Anolis sagrei: one gene and its partner. The protein of the gene in region 1 binds, or shares a complex with, the protein of each later gene. Links are inferred from orthologs where the notes say so. Each region holds a gene or a part of one and is shown on either strand. Other genes may lie near its edges.

Region 1 (10,603 bases):
GTCAGGGTAAGCACCCGACCTTCAGCCCAGCTTACTGTCCACCTAAGCAGTTCAAAAATAGCTGTGAGTAGAGATCTTTCCCAACTAAAAGGTTGGGAGTTCGATCCCGGGTCAGGGTGAGCACCCGACCTCCAGCCCAGCTTACTGTCCACCTAAGGAGTTCAAAAATAGCTGTGAGTAGAGATCTTTCCCAACTGAAAGGTTGGGAGTTCGAGCCCGGGTCAGGGTGAGCACCCGACCTTCAGCCCAGCTTACTGTCCACCTAAGCAGTTCAAAAACAGCTGTGAGTAGAGATCTTTCCCAACTGAAAGGTTGGGAGTTCGAGCCCGGGTCAGGGTGAGCACCCGACCTTCAGCCCAGCTTACTGTCCACCTAAGCAGTTCAAAAACAGCTGTGAGTAGAGATCTTTCCCAACTGAAAGGTTGGGAGTTCGAGCCCGGGTCAGGGTGAGCACCCGACCTTCAGCCCAGCTTACTGTCCACCTAAGCAGTTCAAAAACAGCTGTGAGTAGAGATCTTTCCCAACTGAAAGGTTGGGAGTTCGAGCCCGGGTCAGGGTGAGCACCCGACCTTCAGCCCAGCTTACTGTCCACCTAAGCAGTTCAGAAATAGCTGTGAGTAGAGATCTTTCCCAACTGAAAGGTTGGGAGTTCGAGCCCAGGTCAGGGTAAGCACCCGACCTTCAGTCCAGCTTACTGTCCACCTAAGCAGTTCAAAAATAGCTGTGAGTAGAGATCTTTCCCAACTGAAAGGTTGGGAGTTCGAGCCCGGGTCAGGGTGAGCACCCGACCTTCAGCCCAGCTTACTGTCCACCTAAGCAGTTCAAAAATAGCTGTGAGTAGAGATCTTTCCCAACTGAAAGGTTGGGAGTTCGAGCCCAGGTCAGGGTAAGCACCCGACCTTCAGTCCAGCTTACTGTCCACCTAAGCAGTTCAAAAATAGCTGTGAGTAGAGATCTTTCCCAACTGAAAGGTTGGGAGTTCGAGCCCGGGTCAGGGTGAGCACCCGACCTTCAGCCCAGCTTACTGTCCACCTAAGGAGTTCAAAAATAGCTGTGAGTAGAGAAATTAGGCACCGCTTAAACAGGGAGATATTGTATGGCACCATACAAGAGCAGTACCTATTGAGCTACTCACATTTGCATGTTTTCAAACTGCTAGGTTGGTAAGAGCTAGGGCTAACAGCGGGAGCTCACCCAAACCTGCGGCTTCGAACTGCAGATTAAAAGCAGTACCTATTGAGCTACTCATATTTGCATGTTTTCAAACTGCTAGGTTGGCAGGAGCTAGGGCTAACAGCAGAAGCTCACCCAGACCCGCGGCTTCGAAGTGCCAACCTTTAGGTCAGCAGTTTCACTGGTTTAATGATAAGGGCCAGGCTTTAATCACTAACAGCAAGAAATCTTTCCCAACTGAAAGATTGGGAGTTCGAGCCTGGGTCAGGGTGAGCACCCGACCTTCAGCCCAGCTTACTGTCCACCTAAGCAGTTCAGAAATAGCTGTGAGTAGAGAAATTAGACACTGCTTAAATGGGGAGATATTGTATGGCACCATACAAAAGCAGTACCTATTGATCTACTCACATTTGCATGTTTTCAAACTGCTAGGTTGGTAAGATCTAGGGCTAACAGCGGGAGCTCACCCAGACCTGCGGCTTCAAAACACCAACGTTTAAGTCAGCAGATTCAATGGTTTAATGGTAAGGACCAGGCTTTAATCACTAACAGCAAGAGATCTTTCACAACTGAAAGATTGGGAGTTCGAGCCTGGGTCAGGGTGAGCACCCGACCTTCAGCCCAGCTTACTGTCCACCTAAGCAGTTCAAAAATAGCTGTGAGTAGAGAAATTAGGCACTGCTCAAATGGGGAGAGATGATCGTCCTCATTCCATTTCCCTCCAAGTGCGAAGTTTGCATGGTACGAGGGTTATCCGGAACGTAAAGTTACAAGGTGAGCTCCCGCTGTTAGCCCTAGCTCTTGCCAACCTAGCAGTTTGAAAACATATAAATGTGAGTAGAGAAATTAGACACTGCTTAAACTGGGGAGATATTGTATGGCACCATACAAAAGCAGTACCTATTGAGCTACTCACATTTGCTTGTTTTCAAACTTCTAGGTTGGGAAGAGCTAGGGCTAACAGCGGGACCTCATCCAGACCTACGGCTTCGAACTTCCAATCTTTAGGTCAGCAGATTCACCGGCTTAACGTTAAGGGCCAGGCTTTAATCACTAACGGCAAGAGATCTTTCCCAACCGAAAGATTGGGAGTTCGAGCCCAGATCAGGGTGAGCACCCGACCTTCAGCCCAGCTTACTGTCCACCTAAGCAGTTCAAAAATAGCTGTGAGTAGAGAAATTAGGCACTGTTTAAACGGGGAGATATTGTATGGCACCATACAAAAGCAGTACCTATTGATCTACTCACATTTGCATGTTTTCAAACTGCTAGGTTGGCAAGAGCTAGGGCTAACAGTGGGAGCTCACCTTTACCAACGGCTTCAAACTGCCAATCTTTAAGTCAGCAAGTTCAATGGTTTAACCTGTTGTGCCACCACTAGAAGACCATTGTAGTTCCTTCCAATTCTCTGATTTTGGGCAACAGATGAGGATGCAGGAACCTGGGACGATGAAGAGATCCCTTACCTCCATCAACACATGATGTACTTTCCGGAGAAAATCCTCATTGCTCTCATAGTCAGGGATGGGCTCAGCAGGGAGGTCCGACCGATGACCCAACTGCAAAAAAAAAAGGTAAAACAATGATCCGAGGTTCTAAAGAATGGGAAACAATGGAGCAAAGGGTTCCAAGTAAGTAACACACAATTAAACAGGAAATAAAATTTTCAAACTGGGAATAGAAAATTTTTCAGATTTTGTTACATAGTGTAATGAATGGCAGGAGGACCCGACTCACACTCTCTGCAGCTTCCACCAAGGCTCCCCACTCCACTTTGGGCACCATCCGGGCAGTGAACTCTGGATTGAAATCGACATTGTTCACCTTGACCTCTGTGGCCTGTGCAAAGAAAATGGAGAGAAAAAAAAATATTATTATTATTATTATTATTATTATTATTGACACAAAAGCACAGTATGTCACAGCAAACGAGATCTATATACTGGATTTCGTATCACAAAATCACAAGTCGAACCCTTCCCAAGCGTCTAGGACTGTGTGATGTATTATTATTATTATTATTATTATTATTATTATTTTACTGACACAAAAGCACAGTATATCACAGCAAACGAGAGCTATATGCTGGATTTAGTATCACAAAATCACAAGTCGAACCCTTCCCAAGCGTCTAGGACTGTGATGTATTATTATTATTATTATTATTATTATTATTTTACTGACACAAAAGCACAGTATGTCACAGCAAATGAGATCTAGATGCTGGATTTCGTATCACAAAATCACAAGTCGAACCCTTCCCAAGCGTCTAGGACTGTGTGATATTATTATTATTATATTGACACAAAAGCACAGTATGTCACAGCAAACGAGATCTTTATGCTGGATTTCGTATCACAAAATCACAAGTCGAAGCCTTCCCAAGCGTCTAGGACTGTGATGTATTATTATTATTATTATTATTTTACTGACACAAAAACAGTTTGTCATCACAAACAAGATCTAGATGCTGGATTTCATATCACAAAATCACAATCGAACCTTTCCCAAGCGTCTAGGACTGTGTGATGTATTATTATTATTATTGTTATTATTATTATTATTATTTTACTGTCACAAAAGCACAGTATGTCACAGCAAACGAGATCTCTATGCTGGGTTTCGTATCACAAAATCACAAGTCAAACACTTCCCAAGCGTCTAGGACTGTATGATGTATTTTCGAATGATGCGCACAGATCCAAGTCAGGTGGCCTTTTGCAGTTATTATTATTATTATTATTATTAGCTAATGTAATAATTATTATTATTAATGTTATTACTATTATTAGCTAATGTAATTATTATTACTATTATTAGCTAATGTAATTAATAATAATAATAATAATAATGTTGTTATTATTATTATTATTATTATTATTATTATTAGCTAATGTAAGCCAGGCCGGAGATAGATAATATAGAAGGAATGCCAGAGTTCTTTAATTGTGAAACCCTAACCCTTACCCTAATCCTGAACCATACCAGAATCGTAACCCTAACCCCTTACCCAAACCCTTACCCAAACCCTAAACCTTACGCTAACCCAAACCCTAAACCTTACCCTAACCCTAACCGTAAAAGGTAAAGGTAAAGATTTCTCCTTGACATTAAACCTAGTCATGTCCGACTCTGGGGGTTGCTGCTCATCTCCATTTCTAAGCCGAAGAGCTGGCGTTGTCCTCCTAGGTCAGGTGGCCAGCATGACTGCATGGAACGCCGTTACCTTCTCACCAGATCTATTGATCTACTCACATTTGCATGCTTTTCGAACTGCTAATAGCGGACGCTCACGCCACTCCCTGGATTTGAACCGCCGACCTTTCGGTCAGCAAGTTCAGCGGTTTAACCCGCTGTGCCACTGAGCGGCCCTTAATATAATATTATATAAACTGCTAGGTTGGCAGTTTGAAACCCCTAACCCTAACCCCTAACCCTGCCCTAACCCTTACCCCAAGCATCCCCTCCTTTCTATCCTTCCTTTGCTCTCCCCGCTCTCCCTCCGCTCCCTCTCTTCGCTTTTCCCAGCCGCGTTTGCGGCATCTCCGTAACGCTCGGAGCTTCCGTACACACCTATCATACTATCACCGAGTTCTTTCTCTCACCTTGGACCTTCAAAGAACTCTTGTCTGTTGGAGGCAAGTGTGGATGCTGCAATTGGCCACCTTGATTAGCACTGAATGGCCTTGCAGCTTAAAAACTTGGCTGGTTTCTGCCCGGGGAAATAATGTCCAGGGTGGGAGAAAGAACTCTTGTCTGTTGGAGGCAAGTGCGGATGCGGCAATTGGCCACCTTGATAAGCACTGAATGGCCTCGCAGCTTCACAGACTGGCTGGTTTCTGCCTGGGGGAATAATGTCCAGGGTGGGAGAAAGAACTCTTGTCTGTTGGAGGCAAGTGCGGATGCTGCAATTGGCCACCTTGATTAGCAATAAATGGCCTCGCAGCTTCAAAGCCTGGCTTCTTCCTGTTAACACATCCCAACAAAGGACTTCCTCAGGCAGGAAGCAGCTAGGCTTTGAAGATACAAGGCCATTCTTTGCTATAATCAAGATGGCGAATTACAGCATCCACACTTGCCTCCAACAGACAAGAGTTCTTTCTCCCACCACAGATATATCAACCCCATTGTCCTAGTTTCCAACAAACCTCACAACCTCTGAGGATGCCTGTCATAGATGTGGGCGAAACATCAGGAGAGAATGCTTCTGGAACATGGCCAGGCAACCTGGAAATCCTCACAGCAACACAGCGTAGGATTTGCCCCAAATTCCCCATAGATTTGAAGATTATTTCAGCCTTGCGGCTTCAAAGCCTGGCTTATTCCTGTTAACACATCCCAACAAAGGACTTCTTCAGGCAGGAAGAAACCAGGCTTTGAAGGTACAAGGCCATTCAATGCTAATCAAGGGGGCGTGGCCTGGGAACGCCCCGCCCTCACCTGAATGCGAAGAGGGAAGCCGCCGCCGGGCTTCACGCCCCGCACGTGAGAAGTCAGCATGTTGTGCGTCAAAAGCTTCATCCTCGCACGACGCCGGTGGCCGGGCCGGGAAACCGTCTGCGCATGCGTGCCGCCACTCCACCGCTCTAACGCCCCCTTTTTCCTCTCACTTCCGGCGGCTAATTTCGACACACTTCCGGTGAGTTAGTGCAACGCTAATATCGAATGTACGGGAAACCAGATCTAAATGCGACACCGTTCCGGGTTGTAATATTTCATTTAAACCAACATCCCCACTATTTAAATATTTAAATAAATGAAATAAAATATATAAATAAATATAATATTAAAATGCAATGTTAATATAACATATACAATGTTCTATATATAAAATATAATATCAACGAAATGTTTCAATAAAATAATAATTATTTATGATTATTTGTTTGTTTGTTTTAGTAGAATAATGCCCAGGGTGGGAGAAAGAACTCTTGTCTGCTTGAGGCAAGTGGGAATGTTGCAATTGGCCACTTTGATTAGCATTGAATGGCCTTGCAGCTTCAAAGCCTGGCTGGTTGCTGCCTGGGGGAATCCTTTGTTGGGAGGTTTTAGCTGGCCCCGATTGTTTCGTGTCAGGAATTAGATCTTCTTGAACCATTTCTAGAGCATTATACTATTACAATATTATTATATCTTCTTGAACCAATGCCTCGAGTATTATTATATCTTTTTGAACTAATTTTTGATTGATTCTTGAGTATTATTATTATTATACTATACTTCCCTGAACCGATTATTATGATATTATTCTCATATCTAACCCTAATATTTCCTTGCAGCTTCAAAGCCTTGCAGCTTCAAAGCTTGGCTGCTTCCTGCCTGGGGGAATCTTTAGTATTGAATAGCCTTTTAGCTTCAAAGCCTGGGTGGAAATCCTTAGCATTGAATAGCCTTGCAGCTTCAAAGCCTGGGTGGAAATCCTTAGCACTGAATAGCCTTGCAGCTTCAAAGCCTGGGTGGAAATCCTTAGCATTGAATAGCCTTGCAGCTTCAAAGCCTGGGGGGAAATCCTTAGCATTGAATAGCCTTGCAGCTTCAAAGCCTGGGTGGAAATCCTTAGCATTAAATAGCCTTGCAGCTTCAAAGCCTGGGTGGAAATCCTTAGCATTGAATAGCCTTGCAGTTTCAAAGCCTGGGGGGAAATCCTTAGCATTGAATAGCCTTGCAGCTTCAAAGCCTGGGTGGAAATCCTTAGCATTGAATAGCCTTGCAGCTTCAAAGCCTGGGGGGAAATCCTTAGCATTGAATAGCCTTGCAGCTTCAAAGCCTGGGTGGAAATCCTTAGCATTGAATAGCCTTGCAGCTTCAAAGCCTGGCTTCTTCCAGCCTGGGGGAATCCTTAGCATTGAATACCCTTGCAGCTTCAAAGCCTGGCTGTCTCCTGTCTGGGGGGGGGAATCCTTAGGATTGAAAAGCCTTGCAGCTTCAAAAACTGGCTGTCTCCTGTCTGCGGAGGGGAATCCTTAGCATTCAATAGTCTTGCAGCTTCAAAGCCTGGCTGTCTCCTGTCTGGGGGGGGGATCCTTAGCATCGAATAGCCTTGTGGCTTCAAAGCTTGGCTGTCTCCTGTCTGGGGAGGGGAATCCTTAGCATTGAATAGCCGTACAGCTATTGAATGCCTTACAGCATTGAATAGCCTTGCAGCTTCAAAACCTGGCTGCTTCCTGCCTGGGGGAATCCTTAGCATTGAATAGCCTTGCAGCTTCAAAGCCTGTCTGACACTTGCCTGGGGGAATCCTTAGCATTGAATAGCCTTGCAGCTTCAAAGCCTGTCTGCTTCCTGCCTGGGGGAATCCTTAGCATTGAATAGCCTTGCAGCTTCAAAACCTGGCTGTTTCCTGAATGGGGGAAACTTAGCATTGAATAGACTTGCAGCATCAAAACCTGGCTGCTTCTTGCCTGGGGGGAATCCTTAGCATTGAATACCCTTACAGCTTGAAACCCTGGCTGCTTCCTGACTGGATGAATCCTTAGCATTGAATAGCCTTACAGCTTTAAAGCCTTAGCATTGAATAGCTTTGCAGCTTCAAAACCTGGCTGCTTCCTGCGTGTAGAATCCTTAGCGTTGAATAGCCTTGCAGCTTCAAAGCCTGGCTATCTCTTGTCTGGGGGAATCCTTAGCATTGAATAGCCTTGCAGCTTCAAAGCCTGGCTGCTTCCTGCCTGGGGAGAATCTTTAGTATTGAATACCCTTGCAGCTTCAAAGCCTGGATGCTTCCTGAATGGGGGAATCCTTAGCATTGAATAGCCTTACAGCTTTAAAGCCTTAGGATTGAATAGTTTTTCAGCTTCAAAGCCTAGCTGCTTCCTGCCTGGAGGGAAATCCTTAGCATTGAATAGCCTTGCAGCTTCAAAGCCTGGCTGCTTCCTGAATGTGGGAATCCTTAGCATTGGATAGCCTTACAGCTTTAAAGCCTTAGCATTGAATAGCCTTGCAGCTTCAAAGCCTGGCTGCTTCCTGCCTGGGGGAATCTTTAGCATTAAATACCCATACAGCTTTAAAGCCTTAGCATTGAATAGCCTTGCAGCTTCAAAGCTTGGCTGCTTCCTGCCTGGGGGGAATCCTTAGCATTGAATACCCTTACAGCTTTAAAGCCTTAGCATTGAATAGCCTTGCAGCTTCAAAGCCCGGCTGCTTCCTGCCTGGGGGGAGGATCCTTTCAGGGGAGGTTAGCTGGCCCTGATTATTTCCTGTTTTTCTGAGCGTTGTTCTTTATTTACCATGCTGATTTTAGAGGTTGGTTTTTAATACTGGTCGGCAGATTGTGTTCATTTCCACGTGGTTGTACTTCATGCAAATGAGATGCAGATGAGCCACCCCAGGCCCCGCCCCTTGCGTTGGCCCCGCCCCCTGACTACCCGCCCTCCGGAGGGGAGAGGGAGACTTGGGAGGCAGGCCCGGGGTTGCCAGGGCAGCAGCCGTCACTCCTGCGATTTCCATGGCAACGGGGTGGCGAGGGGCGGGGGTGCTGGCTTTGGCAGGCAGGGCTGTTTTGGTGCAGGCCCCACTCCTCGGCATCCGTGGAGCGCAGAAGGGCCGGTATTTCGGGACCGGAGCAGCAGCCATGGCCGCCCTCAAGGTCAGTCGCCTCGGGGCGGGTCCACACCGGAGAGTTAACGCGGTTTGGCCCCTCCGGGAGCCGTCATTAGAGTTGGCAAAGGCTCGAGAAGGGCCTGAGTGAGGCCTAGGCCTGGAATGCCTCCTCAGGAGGCATTCCAGGCCTAGGCCTCACTCAGGCCCTTCTCGAGTTGCATTGACTGTGTGTGAGGCATTCCTCTTAAGGGCTGGAATACCATATTTTGTGTGTGTGTATTTATGTCTATTGTGCATTGTAGTTTCTGCATGTGATTATGTACAGTAGTCTCTTCTCCAACATCAACGAAAATAAGCGAAAATGTGGACTAAAAAGGAGGAATCTGGAGAACAAGCCCTATGAGGAGCGGCTTAAAGAGCCCGAGAAGAAGAGAAGCCTTTCTGTATGGGATTATGTACAGTAGTCTCTTCTCCAACATCAACGAAAATAAGCGAAAATGTGGACTAAAAAGGAGGGATCTGGAGAACAAGCCCTATGAGGAGCGGCTTAAAGAGCCCGAGAAGAAGAGAAGCCTTTCTGTATGGGATTATGTACAGTAGTCTCTTCTCCAACATCAACGAAAATAAGCGAAAATGTGGACTAAAAAGGAGGGATCTGGAGAACAAGCCCTATGAGGAGCGGCTTAAAGAGCCTGAGAAGAAGAGAAGCCATTCTGTATGTGATTATGTACAGTAGTCTCTTCTCCAACATCAACGAAAATAAGCGAAAATGTGGACTAAAAAGGAGGGATCTGGAGAACAAGCCCTATGAGGAGCGGCTTAAAGAGCCCGAGAAGAAGAGAAGCCTTTCTGTATGGGATTATGTACAGTAGTCTCTTCTCCAGCATAAACGGGCCAAGAGCAGAACGTTGGATAAGCGAAAATGTGGAGTAAAAAGGAGGGATCTGGAGAACAAGCCCTATGAGGAGCGGCTTAAATAGCCTGAGAAGACATGAAGAAGGCCAGGGATAAATATGTGAGAGGGAGGAGGGGGAGAACTTGTTTTCTGTTTCCTTGAAGACTAGGACGCGGAACTATGGCTTCAAATATGCCTGCAGGACAAGGACTGTTTACAGACGTCACATGCAACTCCTGGAACGATTCCATGAGCGCTGCCTCCGGAAAATCCTGCAAATCTCTTGGGAAGACAAGCGGGGAAATGTCAGCATGCTGGAAGAAGCAAAGACCACCGGCATTGAAGCAATGGTCCTCCGCCATCAACTCCGCTGGGCTGGCCACGTTGTCCGGATGCCCGACCACCGTCTCACAAAGCAGTTGCTCTACTCCGATCTCAAGAATGGAAAACGGAATGTGGGTGGAAAGGAAAAGAGATTGAAAGATGGGATCAAAGCCAACCTTAAAAACTCTGGCTTCCCAGTTCTCAGGGTCAATGCCAGAGTTTTTAAGGTTGGCTTTGATCCCATCTTTCAATCTCTTTTCCTTCCCACCAACATTCCTTTTTCTTTAAAAACTCTGGCCCTTGAGCACTCCAGCTGGAGGTCAGTTGTGACCAGTAGTGCTGCAGAATTTGAAGAGGCATGAATGGAGGAAGAAATAAACATGCCAAGAGGAAGACGCGTCAAGCCAACCCCAACTGGGACCGCTTTTCACCTGGAAACCAATGCCCTCGCTGCAGGAGAAGATGCAGGTCAAGAATAGGGCTCCATTGCCACCTACGGACCCACCCTGGAGGATTATCCTACGAAAAGAGATTTAAAGTAGTCCACGCTCTGGTTACATCGCGTTTAGACTACTGCAATGCTCTCTACGTGGGGTTGCCTCTGAAGACTGCCTGGAAGCGTCAATCAGTCCAACGTGCGGCAGCCAGATTGCTAACAGGAGCGGGGTACAGAGACC
Region 2 (10,603 bases), on another chromosome or scaffold:
ATGGAATGAGCGAGGATTATGCTCACTTGTGTGATTAGGTTGGAAAAAATTTATTTCCAACACAATGGGACAATACACTATGGTAAGAAGATACCTCCCCTCCCCCCCCCCCCCCCACACACACACACATACACATACTTTCTGCAACTCATGGGATGAGGTCCTAAATCTCTGCCCCAAACTGCATAAAAACCAGCCATTCCCATCCTGAATCTTACAAACAAGCAGTCACTTCCAGTCACAGTGTGGCTTGGAGAGTCATCTCTACCCTCTGAGTGATATAGCCGGGGTGGCTATATTGGGGTAATTTAAAATTGCAACACTCGATGGCTGTCCACATTGGAAATAATGATGTGCTGATATTTATTTATTTATTTATCGTATCAGGAGCTGGCCAGTAGCTGGCCACTTGGAGTGCCTCTGGTGTTGCTATAAGAAGGTCCTCCATTGTGCATTTGGCAGGGCCCAGGCTGCATTGTAATAGGTGGTCTGTGATTTGTTCTTAACACTCACATGTCGTGGACTCCAATTTGTAGCCCCATTTCTTAAGGTTGGTTCTGCATCTCATGGTGCCAGAGCGCAGTCTGTGCAACGCCTTCCAAGTTGCCCAGTCTTATGTGTAATAGCTCAGTATGTGGATGATTTTGGTAGAAATAGTCTCATTTGGTATCAGCCATGGATTGAGGTGCTGGGTTTTAGCCTGTCACTTTTGGACTCTTGCTTGCTGAGGTGTTCCTGCGAGTATCTTTGTAAATCTTAGAAAACTATTTCTTGATTTAAGGCGTTGGCGTGCTGGTTGATATCCGAACAGGGGATGGGTCGGAGATGTCACTGCCTTGGTCCTTTCATTATTGGCTGCTACTTCCCGGCAGATGTCAGGTGGTGCAATATTGGCTAGACAGTAGTGTGGGGGCCAGACAGCCTGTGATACTGCAGCATGTCTCATTAAGACATGTGTTGATATTGCCATCACAATTACGTCTTGATATATATCCATACAAGACTGCCCTCTAGTGAGCTAGTTCTTATCAATAGTAAAGTACTGAGAAAATAAAGCTGAATAGTTCATACTCTTTCTTATGAAGGTCTTGCAAAGATTAGTTCAGATCCGGTTTTGATGCAGTGAGTTGAAGATGGCCCCTTTCTACACTGCCATGTTTGTCATCTTCTCCGTATCTATTGAGAAATGGCTGTCAATTTAAGGAAACTGAATATGTGAGGTCCCCTCTACAGTCCCACCTCTGTCTCAGGCTCTGGGGATGAGAGAAAGGGCCTTCTCTGTCGTGGCCCCCCGGCTCTGGAACTCCCTCCCCAGGGAGATTAGGCTAGCACCTTCCGTGTCCACCTTCCGCAAGGACTTAAAGACAGGGATGTTCCATTGTGCTTTTAAGTAGGCAATTCCCTTGGCAGCTGGCCCTAGTTAGGACCAAAAAAAAAACTTGTCCTCAAGCACTTTGCGATTGTTATATCCAAATCCTTAATGGTAAATCATTCTTACCCTCATCGCTGCTATATGATATTTGCACTTTACTCATTAGCTCCATCCTTTAATTCTATGGCATCAGATTGCCCACCCACGACAAGACATTGAACTTTGTTATGTCAGTTTTGATGTTTGTTTTATACATTAATGTTGATCTTTTTATTTTGTTATATTGCTTTTTGTTATTATTTTGTTGATATGCATTTTAATGTATTATGTTTTAACTGTTGTGTTGGGCTTGGCCCCATGTAAGCCGCCCGAGTCCCTTCGAGGAGATGGAGGTGGGGTATAAAAATAAAGTTGTTGTTATTATTATTATTATTATTATTATTATTATTATTGCAGCCTCTTCTACACTTCCATATAAAATCCAGATTATCTACTTTGAAACTGCTTATATGGCGGTGTAGACTCATATAATCCATTTGTGGGTTATTTGCTTTGATATTCTAGATTATATGGCAGTGTAGAAGGGGCCTCAGATAGTTGAAGTGTTTCAAGCCAACATATATTATTTTACATTTTGTTACTGCTTTTGAGAAACTGGGGAATGTTTTTTTTTCTTTTTTAAAAAAGTTAAATGTATATGTGTGTGTATATGAGACAATTAGATTGCCATTGCAAATTCTCCCAATAGAGCATTTGATGGCCCTTCCACACATCCAAAGAACCCAGAATATCAAGGTAGCGAATCCACAATATCTTCTTTGAACTGGGTTATGAGTCCACACTGCTATATAACCCAGTTCAATGTGGATTTTGCAGAGCTGTGTGGAAGGGGCCTATGATGAAAACATGAGGTGCAAATATGAAAATAATAAATTACAACTATGGTCATAACTTAAAATGATAAGGTCCTTCCACACAGCCATATAAACCAGGCAGAAAATCCCACAATATCTGCTTTATTTCTTTATTATTTACAGTATTTACATTCCACCCTTCTCACCCCACAGGGGACTCAGGGCAGATTACAATGCACATTTACATGGCAAACATCCAATGCCAATTAGAAATACAACATATATAGATAGACACAGAGGCAATTTAACATTCCAGCTTTTCCGACTTCAAGAGGGTATGCTCGATTCTGGCCACAGGGGAGCTGCCACTTGATTGTCCATTTGTGACACTGCGTCCTTTGATGGAGTACTTCCTCATTTTTCTGCATGCTGCTGGGAGGTTTTATGGCATCATAAATTAGTTAAATTAGCCTCGCCGCATAAAGAAGTACCTAAATTTCCTACTTGACAGATGCGACTGTCTTTCGGGCTGCATAGGTCAACAGCAAGCAACATTATTAATGGTCGGGAGCTTACCCCATCAGGGCTGGCTTCGAACTTATAACCTCTTGGTCCGTGGTGAGTTAATGCAGCTGGCTATTATTTATTTTTTTATTTATTTAAAACTTTCATATCCCGATCTTTTCTACCTCTGCAGAGGGACGCAGACCGGCTGACAGCAAAGATCAATGCTAACACTAAAAATCTAAAATACAATACACAACATTAAGTTACCAATTACATATAAGCTAAATTACATAAAAGCCATTCGCCAAGATTAAATCATGTCTAACTCAGTCCGTATATTCAGTCCATATATTGTGATCAGTACCATTAGTCGATTGCTGGTCTCAGACATCATCCTGCAAAAGCTTTGTTCCACAGCCAGGTTTTCACTAGCTTCCTAAAGGTCAGGAGGAAGGCTACTAAGTACACTACAGCCTGGTTCTTTTTATGGCATCATAAATTAGTTAAATTAGCCTCCCCACATAAAGCAGTACCTAAATTTCCTACTTGACAGATGCAACTGTCTTTCGGGCTGCATAAGTTGACAGCAAGCTAGACCAATGGCCGGAAGCTCACTCTGACCTGGGCTGGCTTCGAACTCATGACCCCTCAGTCTGTAGTGATTTAAAGCAGCTGGCTATCAGTCCTTTGAACTGGGTTATCTGAGTCCATACTACCATATAATCCAGTTCAAAGCAGAAAATGTGTTTTTTTCCCTCCAACTGTGTGGAAGAAGCCAAAGAAACAGGTTCAGGAGTGACAAATATAGAAAGCAAGGCCATATAATGCAGCTTCAAACTGAAATGCATGAGTCTACACCAGGCCTGGGCAAACTTGGGCCCTCCAGGTGTTTTGGAGTTCAACTCCCACCATTCCTAACAGCCTACCGGCTGTTAGGAATGGTGGGAGTTGAACTCCAAAACACCTGGAGGGCCCAAGTTTGCCCAGGCCTGGTCTACACTGCCATTGCCAGCCTCTTTCTCTGTGTGAATGGCCTCCTCCCAGATTGGGGCCTGCAGTGCTGCACTTAAGGGGCGCGAGGGAAGAAGGAACGCACGCCATTGGCCCACAGTTTCCATGGCAACAGTGGAACGCGCCCTCCCCCCTCCCTCCCAAGGCCGCAGAGGCTCCCGCGCCTGACTGGCTCACTCCCCCGGAAGTGCTTGCCTGTAATTAGCTGGTTCTTTTCCCCGGAAGGAATTCTCGGTGTTCCTCGTGTGCAGGCTGTTGCCCCGAGTAACCGGGCGAAAGGAAGAAAGAAAGGAGGTCGCGGGCTGAGAAAGGAGGAGGGAACTTCGTTTGTGTGTGTGTGTCTGCGGGAGCTTCGTCGGTTCCCACGCTCTCCTCCCGAAGAAGCCCAGGAAAGGGCTCTTGCTCTCCTTTCGAAGACGGCCTCTGCATCACTCCGCATTTTACAGCAACACAACTCCATTGGAAGGTAGGAAAAGGCTTGAGGAGGGGGGCTCTACACTGTAGAATTAATGCCCTGGCTCAGTACTCTGGGATCTTGGGAGTTTAGTTTTATTTTCTGCCAAAGAGTTCTGAGGCCCTGGCAAATTGTGTCTCCCAGGATTCCATAGCCTTGAGCCATGGCAGTTAAAGGAGTGCCAAACTGCATTAATACCACAATGTAGACGCACCCAAGCGGGTTACAGGTTTGGCATCCTTTATTCCTTAACCTGAAATATTCCAGATTACTTCAGAATACCAAGGTGAAAGAAGAAAGCGCAAAAGCCGGGTTGCAGCTAAACATCAAAAAAACCCCAAGATTATGGCAACAAGAATGATTGACAACTGGAAAATAGAGGGAGAAAATGTGGAGGCCGTGACAGACTTTGTATTTCTAGGCGCAAAGATTACTGCAGATGCAGACTGTGGCCAGGAAATCAGACGACGCTTACTTCTTGGGAGGAGAGCAATGTCCAATCTCGATAAAATAGTAAAGAGTAGAGACATCACACTGGCAACAAAGATCTGCCTAGTCAAAGCCATGGTATTCCCTGTAGTAACCTACGGATGTGAGAGCTGGACATTAGGGAAGGCTGAGCGAAGGAAGATAGATGCTTTTGAACTGTGGTGTTGGAGGAAAGTTCTGAGAGTGCCTTGGACTGCAAGAAGATCCAACCAGTCCATCCTCTAGGAAATAAAGCCCGACTGCTCACTGGAGGGAAGGATACTAGAGACAAAGTTGAAGTACTTTGGCCACATCATGAGGAGACAGCAAAGCCTAGAGAAGACAATTATGCTGGGGAAAGTGGAAGGGAAAAGGAAGAGGGGCCGACCAAGGGCAAGATGGATGGATGGCATCCTTGAAGTGACTGGACTGACCTTGAAGGAGCTGGGGGTGGTGACGGCCGACAGGGAGCTCTGGCGTGGACTGGTCCATGAGGTCACAAAGAGTCGGAGACGACTGAACGAATGAACAACAACAAACTTCAGAATACAGCAGTGGCTGTGACACTTCTATTTTCTGATGGTTCGTTGTATACATACTTTTGTTTCACGTTCAAAATCATTAATAAAATGGAATCTATTTCTTTCGTTATTTACTATATTTATATACCACCTTTCTCAGCCCGGAGGCGACTCAGGGCGGTTTACAATCGGCAAAATTCAATGCTCCCAACAACATAAAATATAATTAAAACATTAGCATATAATATAAACCATATAAAAACAATAAAGACAATATATATTTATTTTGTGTCAAAAGCAATGCATAAATCAGTATAAAACCGATTAAAAAAACAAAAACAAACCCCCCCCCCCAAAAAAAACACAAGTCCTCAACGTCTCATTACTAAAATCATTTTTCAGTCACATCGTCCAGTCGTTCCATTTACCTACAGCAGATGTGTATGCGTGAAACATTTTGCATTTAGACTTAAGTCCCTTCTCCAAGGTTAAAGATATCTTGGTATTCCTAACACACACAAACACCTGAAATTCAAGATACTATCATTTACAAATAAAGGTATTCCTTGCACGTGCATACACACACACACACACACCAAATCCAAGATACTATCATTTACAAATAAATGTATTCCTTACACACACCTCCCCCCAAATCTAAGATAATATAATTTACATATAAATGTATTCCTAACACTAACACACACAAGTACACCCCAAATCCATGATACTATCATTTATATATAAAGGTATTCCTAACACATACACACTCCAAATCCCAGATACTATCTTTTACAAATAAAGGTATTCCTAACACACACTCTCTCTCCAAATCCCAGATAATGTTCATTTACAAATAAAGATATTCCTAACACACACATCCAAAATACAGGATATTGTCATTTTGGATAAGGGATAGTAAACTGTACCTTGAGTCCACTCCATATGGTTCAGCCAGGCTGGTTTGTTTCCATTGAGGAGTCATAAAACTTTGCTTTCTTATGAGGAAATCAATGGATGTAATAGGTGCTTGACTTCAATTAGGGCCTTTTAAAGAGTGGTGTTTCTGTAAAACACAATAATGGCTTCTTGTTATACCATGATTATGAGAGTGAAGTCTGAGTGCACTGAGGTTCTGGTGTTATTCTAACACACATTGCAGTGTGCTAGTGTTTGACTTGGCCATTTCATTGGGTTTTTCTAAAAATAATTCTATGGTTTGGATAGTAGGCAGCCTTAACAATGGGAGATTGAGGATCATAACCACTTCTCATCTGGTCCCCTGTTGCTTTATGTTCATATATGCGTGTACTAGTAAATGTTATTTCAAAAATCCTATGATTTTAAGCTTATATTTTTTAAAATATGGTGCCATTTTTGTACATAAAAATATTAGATATTCAATCAGCTCTCCAAAGCCATTGATCCTATATCCATGGGTTCAAGCATCTGTATCTTGAAAATATACCCTCCTCCCCCCAATGCAAAAAGCAACCCATGATTTTGACTTTTTATATAAGGGACATCATTTTACTATGTCATTGTATGTAATGGAAAGTGAGCATCAATATGAGTTGGATGATTCCTGAAACCAACCCCTAGCAGATACCAAGGACCCAATGCATATTATCAAAGCAACTTTTAATGTGAGGTGTAGCGCTGAACAGAAGAATTTGTCAGGTCCCATTGTTTGAAAAAAAATCTCAACAAGTGCATTGCTTGAATCATTTGGTGAGTCTATTAAAGAATGCATTTATTTTACAGAGGTTCTATAAACAAACACAATACCTGCTAGAATGTCTGGACCTGAAGAGGCCGGTGATATGTTATCTGAAGTGACCCTGGAAAATGCATGTGAAACATTAAGTGAGAACTGTGAAGTCAATCCTGACACAAAACCTAAAGATATTATAGTTACAATTGGGGCTACTGTGCCAACTGGCTTTGAGGCAACTGCAGCAGATGAAGTACAGGAGAAACTTGGATCAAAGTCCAGAATTAGTAAAGATCGAGGGAAAATCTATTTTGAAATTCCTGCAATCAGACTTCCACAGGTTTGCAGATTTTTATTAAATATTTTTATTAAATATTTGAGTAAAGTGTGTGCTTGTGACTTTAAATACCTGTTGTATATTAATTTGTAATTCTCCTTGCAGTTATTCATATGTTTGTTTCCTTATTAGTCATAAAATTATAATTGTAATCTATTTTTATTAATGCCCTATTCTTTTTGAAGCAAGGGATTGCAAATACTGAAATTGTGAGCATGAAAGAAGAAGAATGGAGAGATGGAAGAACAGTCAAATGTTTTTATTTTGTAGTAAGTTTTGTTTCACACTGCAGCCATATTTGTTTTGACAGGTCTCCAGTAGATGAAGTAGATTCAGTGAAAGTAGATTTATATATATATATTTAGTTCTAGATAACACTTCCAAGTTGAAGTTTGCACATGCTTTGGTGTGATAACAGTATGTGAAGAGTTGCATTTTAAATGTGCAGCAACAGTAAACAAATACCTACCACAAAAATATGACAAATACATTGCTCTGTTACATTTTAAGAGTAGGCATTTGTTTTCTGTTTAATGTTTTCAAGCCAAATATAATAACCAGCAGACTTGTCTTTAAGGATTGCAAAGCCCCCTACGATAGTAAACAAGAGATTCTCTAATTTCATCTAGGTTCATCAGTTGCGATCAGTTGACAACTTATTTGTTGTAGTTCAAGAATTCAAAGATTATCAGTTTAAAGAAACTAAGGTAAGCATTTTTGACTCCATGCTTCCAAGCACATGTTTTTTAAATGACAAAAAATATTTAGTACAGGAATATATGAAGCATAGGGACTTCGTAATGCTAATAGATAATATCTACGCCATGTTGGGATGATGTAGGATCTCAGCCTTTAGATTTTAATAGTTAAGACCAGAAACTTGAACTGAGCACAGAAGCCAATAGATCACTATTACCGATTGAATGAGATCTCATGTGTTACATTTGAGCATTGCCAGCCAGCAAATTGTTAGCAGTATTATGTATCCAAGGTTAGCCCTGTAGAAGGTGTTTGGCAGGAATCAAAAGTGGAGGTAATTAGCATGTTCGTGTCCATTCATGTTCACCCTCCCATCAACTGAGTAATATGAATAGTTTATATTCCAGCAAGTTAGTAGGACATATTGCTGTCTTATTATATAGCTATCCTGTTTTCTTTTTGTTTTAATTTTCTGTTTTCTAATATTTGATTATGTTTCAGTATATTTTATCTTTCATGTATGTCATTTTGAATACTTTATAAACTCAGTAGGATTTCAGTAGCTGAAAGTGTGAAGGTATTACTGTTAAGCAGTTGATCTGAACATGAATAAACCATTTTGTGCATCTAAATGTTCATTGTGGTGTAGCCATAATATATCATGTACCAAAGCAGAAGAGAATTGATGTTGGAGCTAAAAATATGCAAAGTTATGTTGTAGCACCTCTGAACCTAATCGAACAAAAGACGTTTATAGCATAAGATTTCACAGACTAGGTCTACTTCATCAGAAGCAGATGTATTGAATGTATTGTAAATGGAATTTAGTAGACATAGGGAATGCTTGGCAGCATGAAAGAAAGTTTAAGTGCTTTGTCCTCTTATGTTATAGGAGGACACTCTAAAGGATTTAGAGGACTTGGCTAAGAAACTGCCTTGGACTGATGCTTTGGAAGTATGGAAGTTGAATACAAATCTTAAAAAAAGGAAAACAAGGCGAAAGAAAGGCAATCAACAAGGCAATTCAAAGAAAGAGAAGCTAAAAGAAGATGGGTGTGAACAAGAAGCTGTTTGCAAAGAAATAGATGATCCAGTACAAAATAGTTTGGAGGCTGCTGAAACCCAGAACCCTGAGTGTACTGATGAAAAGGTACCACTTGATGAAGATGAGCAGTCTGATCCTAAAGAAGAGCTGGCATCCAATGAAGAAAACAAGAATGAATTGGAAGACTGTAAGAAGTGTGAAATGGATGCTGAGACACTGAAGTTCAGGGTGACTTGCAACAGAGCTGGTGATAAACACAGCTTTAAATCAAATGAGGCAGCAAGAGATTTTGGAGGAGCAGTTCAAGATTTTTTCCAGTGGAAAGCAGACATGACTAATTTTGATGTAGAGGTAAAATTCTATACTAGTTTGGGGGGCTGGGTAGGATAATATTCTCTTGCATGCAAAGCTTTAGGAATGTCTTGTGATAAAATTTGATCCATTACTTTTTCACCAAAATTCAAGAGAATAGATAAGCAAAGTGAGCTCAGATTTACTCAGGTGCAAAGCACCTAATCAAGTGCTATAAGGAGATGAATGGAAATTGTATGTGGTGTTTTTCATGACATTTCTTTGTATAGTTTAGTCTGCAGAAGTCAAGAAGGTAGGGATTGTTCTGAACACTAGTTGGATTGATACATGTTTTAATGTATCAATGAAAATGCTTTTATGCTGCATTCTACTGTGAAATCTTGAAGCATCATACAAATAAATCATTTTAAATATGCTTTATTCTAAATTTTAAAAAGCTCTGTTAGCTCCACTGGCTGCCAATTTGCTACCGAGCACAATTCAGAGTGCAGGCTTTAGCATATAAAGCCCTAAACGGTTCTGGCCCAGCCCCTCTGTCCGAACACATCTCCCCCTATCCCCCTATGAACCATCCCAGGTGCTAAGATCTTCGGGGGGAGGGGGGCTGCTCTCTCCTCACCTTCACGGGTGCAGCTGATGGGGGCAAGAGACAGGGTTATCTCAGTGGTGGCCCTTCAGCTGTGGAACTCCCTCCCCAGTGAAATTAGATCAGCTCCCTCCTTTGTATCCTTTAGGAAACAAGTTGAAACCTGACTATGGAACCAAGCATTTGGAGAGTAGTGCAGGGCTGTATACAGCTACGAACAGAATGGCAATGTGATCGGAACACTTCTGGATTATGAGTTTTAGTCTATGTGTAATCTTTTAACAGCTTATTTATGTATTTATATAAGTGTTTTATGATTTTCATGATTTAACAAACAATATATATTGTATTTTGCTTGTCTTGTGTTAATGTGGTTTTAAATTATTGCCAATTTGGAAGCCGCTCTGTGTCCCCTTTGGGGTTGAGATACAGCAGGTTGAGATAGAGTGGGGTAAAATTACAGCTAATAAATAAAATAATCTAAAGCATTTTTTCAAAATTCCAGATTACACAATAAAAACAGGTCAAAAATTTAAGCAAGTTAAAAAAAAAACTTTTAAAAAACTTTTAAAAAGCTACAACAGTTTAGAAAGCATTGATAGTCCTAGGCACAATGAACCAGTGGTCTACTCAATTGTCAGATTCCTTTGATGGTTGTTAAGAACCAGTGGGGGAATGTGTCCATTTTGCTCTGTTTTGTTCAGTGTAAACTTCTGCTATTAG

Evidence for each region.
Region 2: TRMT112 (region 1) and THUMPD3 share a complex: the UniProt entries of both Homo sapiens proteins name them as parts of the heterodimeric THUMPD3-TRM112 methyltransferase complex. The link is inferred for Anolis sagrei from reciprocal best matches to the Homo sapiens genes TRMT112 and THUMPD3.

Annotation. Positions count from the first base shown.
Region 1 is NC_090032.1:16,789,358-16,799,960, forward strand, and holds the start of TRMT112 (multifunctional methyltransferase subunit TRM112-like protein), read right to left. Parts: upstream 5,766-10,603; 5' UTR 5,695-5,765; coding exon 5,614-5,694; intron 3,013-5,613; coding exon 2,911-3,012; intron 2,733-2,910; coding exon 2,640-2,732; intron 1-2,639. Other genes in the region: PRDX5 (peroxiredoxin-5, mitochondrial), read left to right, coding at 8,613-8,753. UniProt on the Homo sapiens protein: Acts as an activator of both rRNA/tRNA and protein methyltransferases. Together with methyltransferase BUD23, methylates the N(7) position of a guanine in 18S rRNA.
Region 2 is NC_090022.1:49,779,792-49,790,394, forward strand, and holds the start of THUMPD3 (tRNA (guanine(6)-N2)-methyltransferase THUMP3), read left to right. Parts: upstream 1-3,927; 5' UTR 3,928-4,210; intron 4,211-6,951; 5' UTR 6,952-6,983; coding exon 6,984-7,241; intron 7,242-7,867; coding exon 7,868-7,945; intron 7,946-8,829; coding exon 8,830-9,333; intron 9,334-10,603. UniProt on the Homo sapiens protein: Catalytic subunit of the THUMPD3-TRM112 methyltransferase complex, that specifically mediates the S-adenosyl-L-methionine-dependent N(2)-methylation of guanosine nucleotide at position 6 (m2G6) in tRNAs.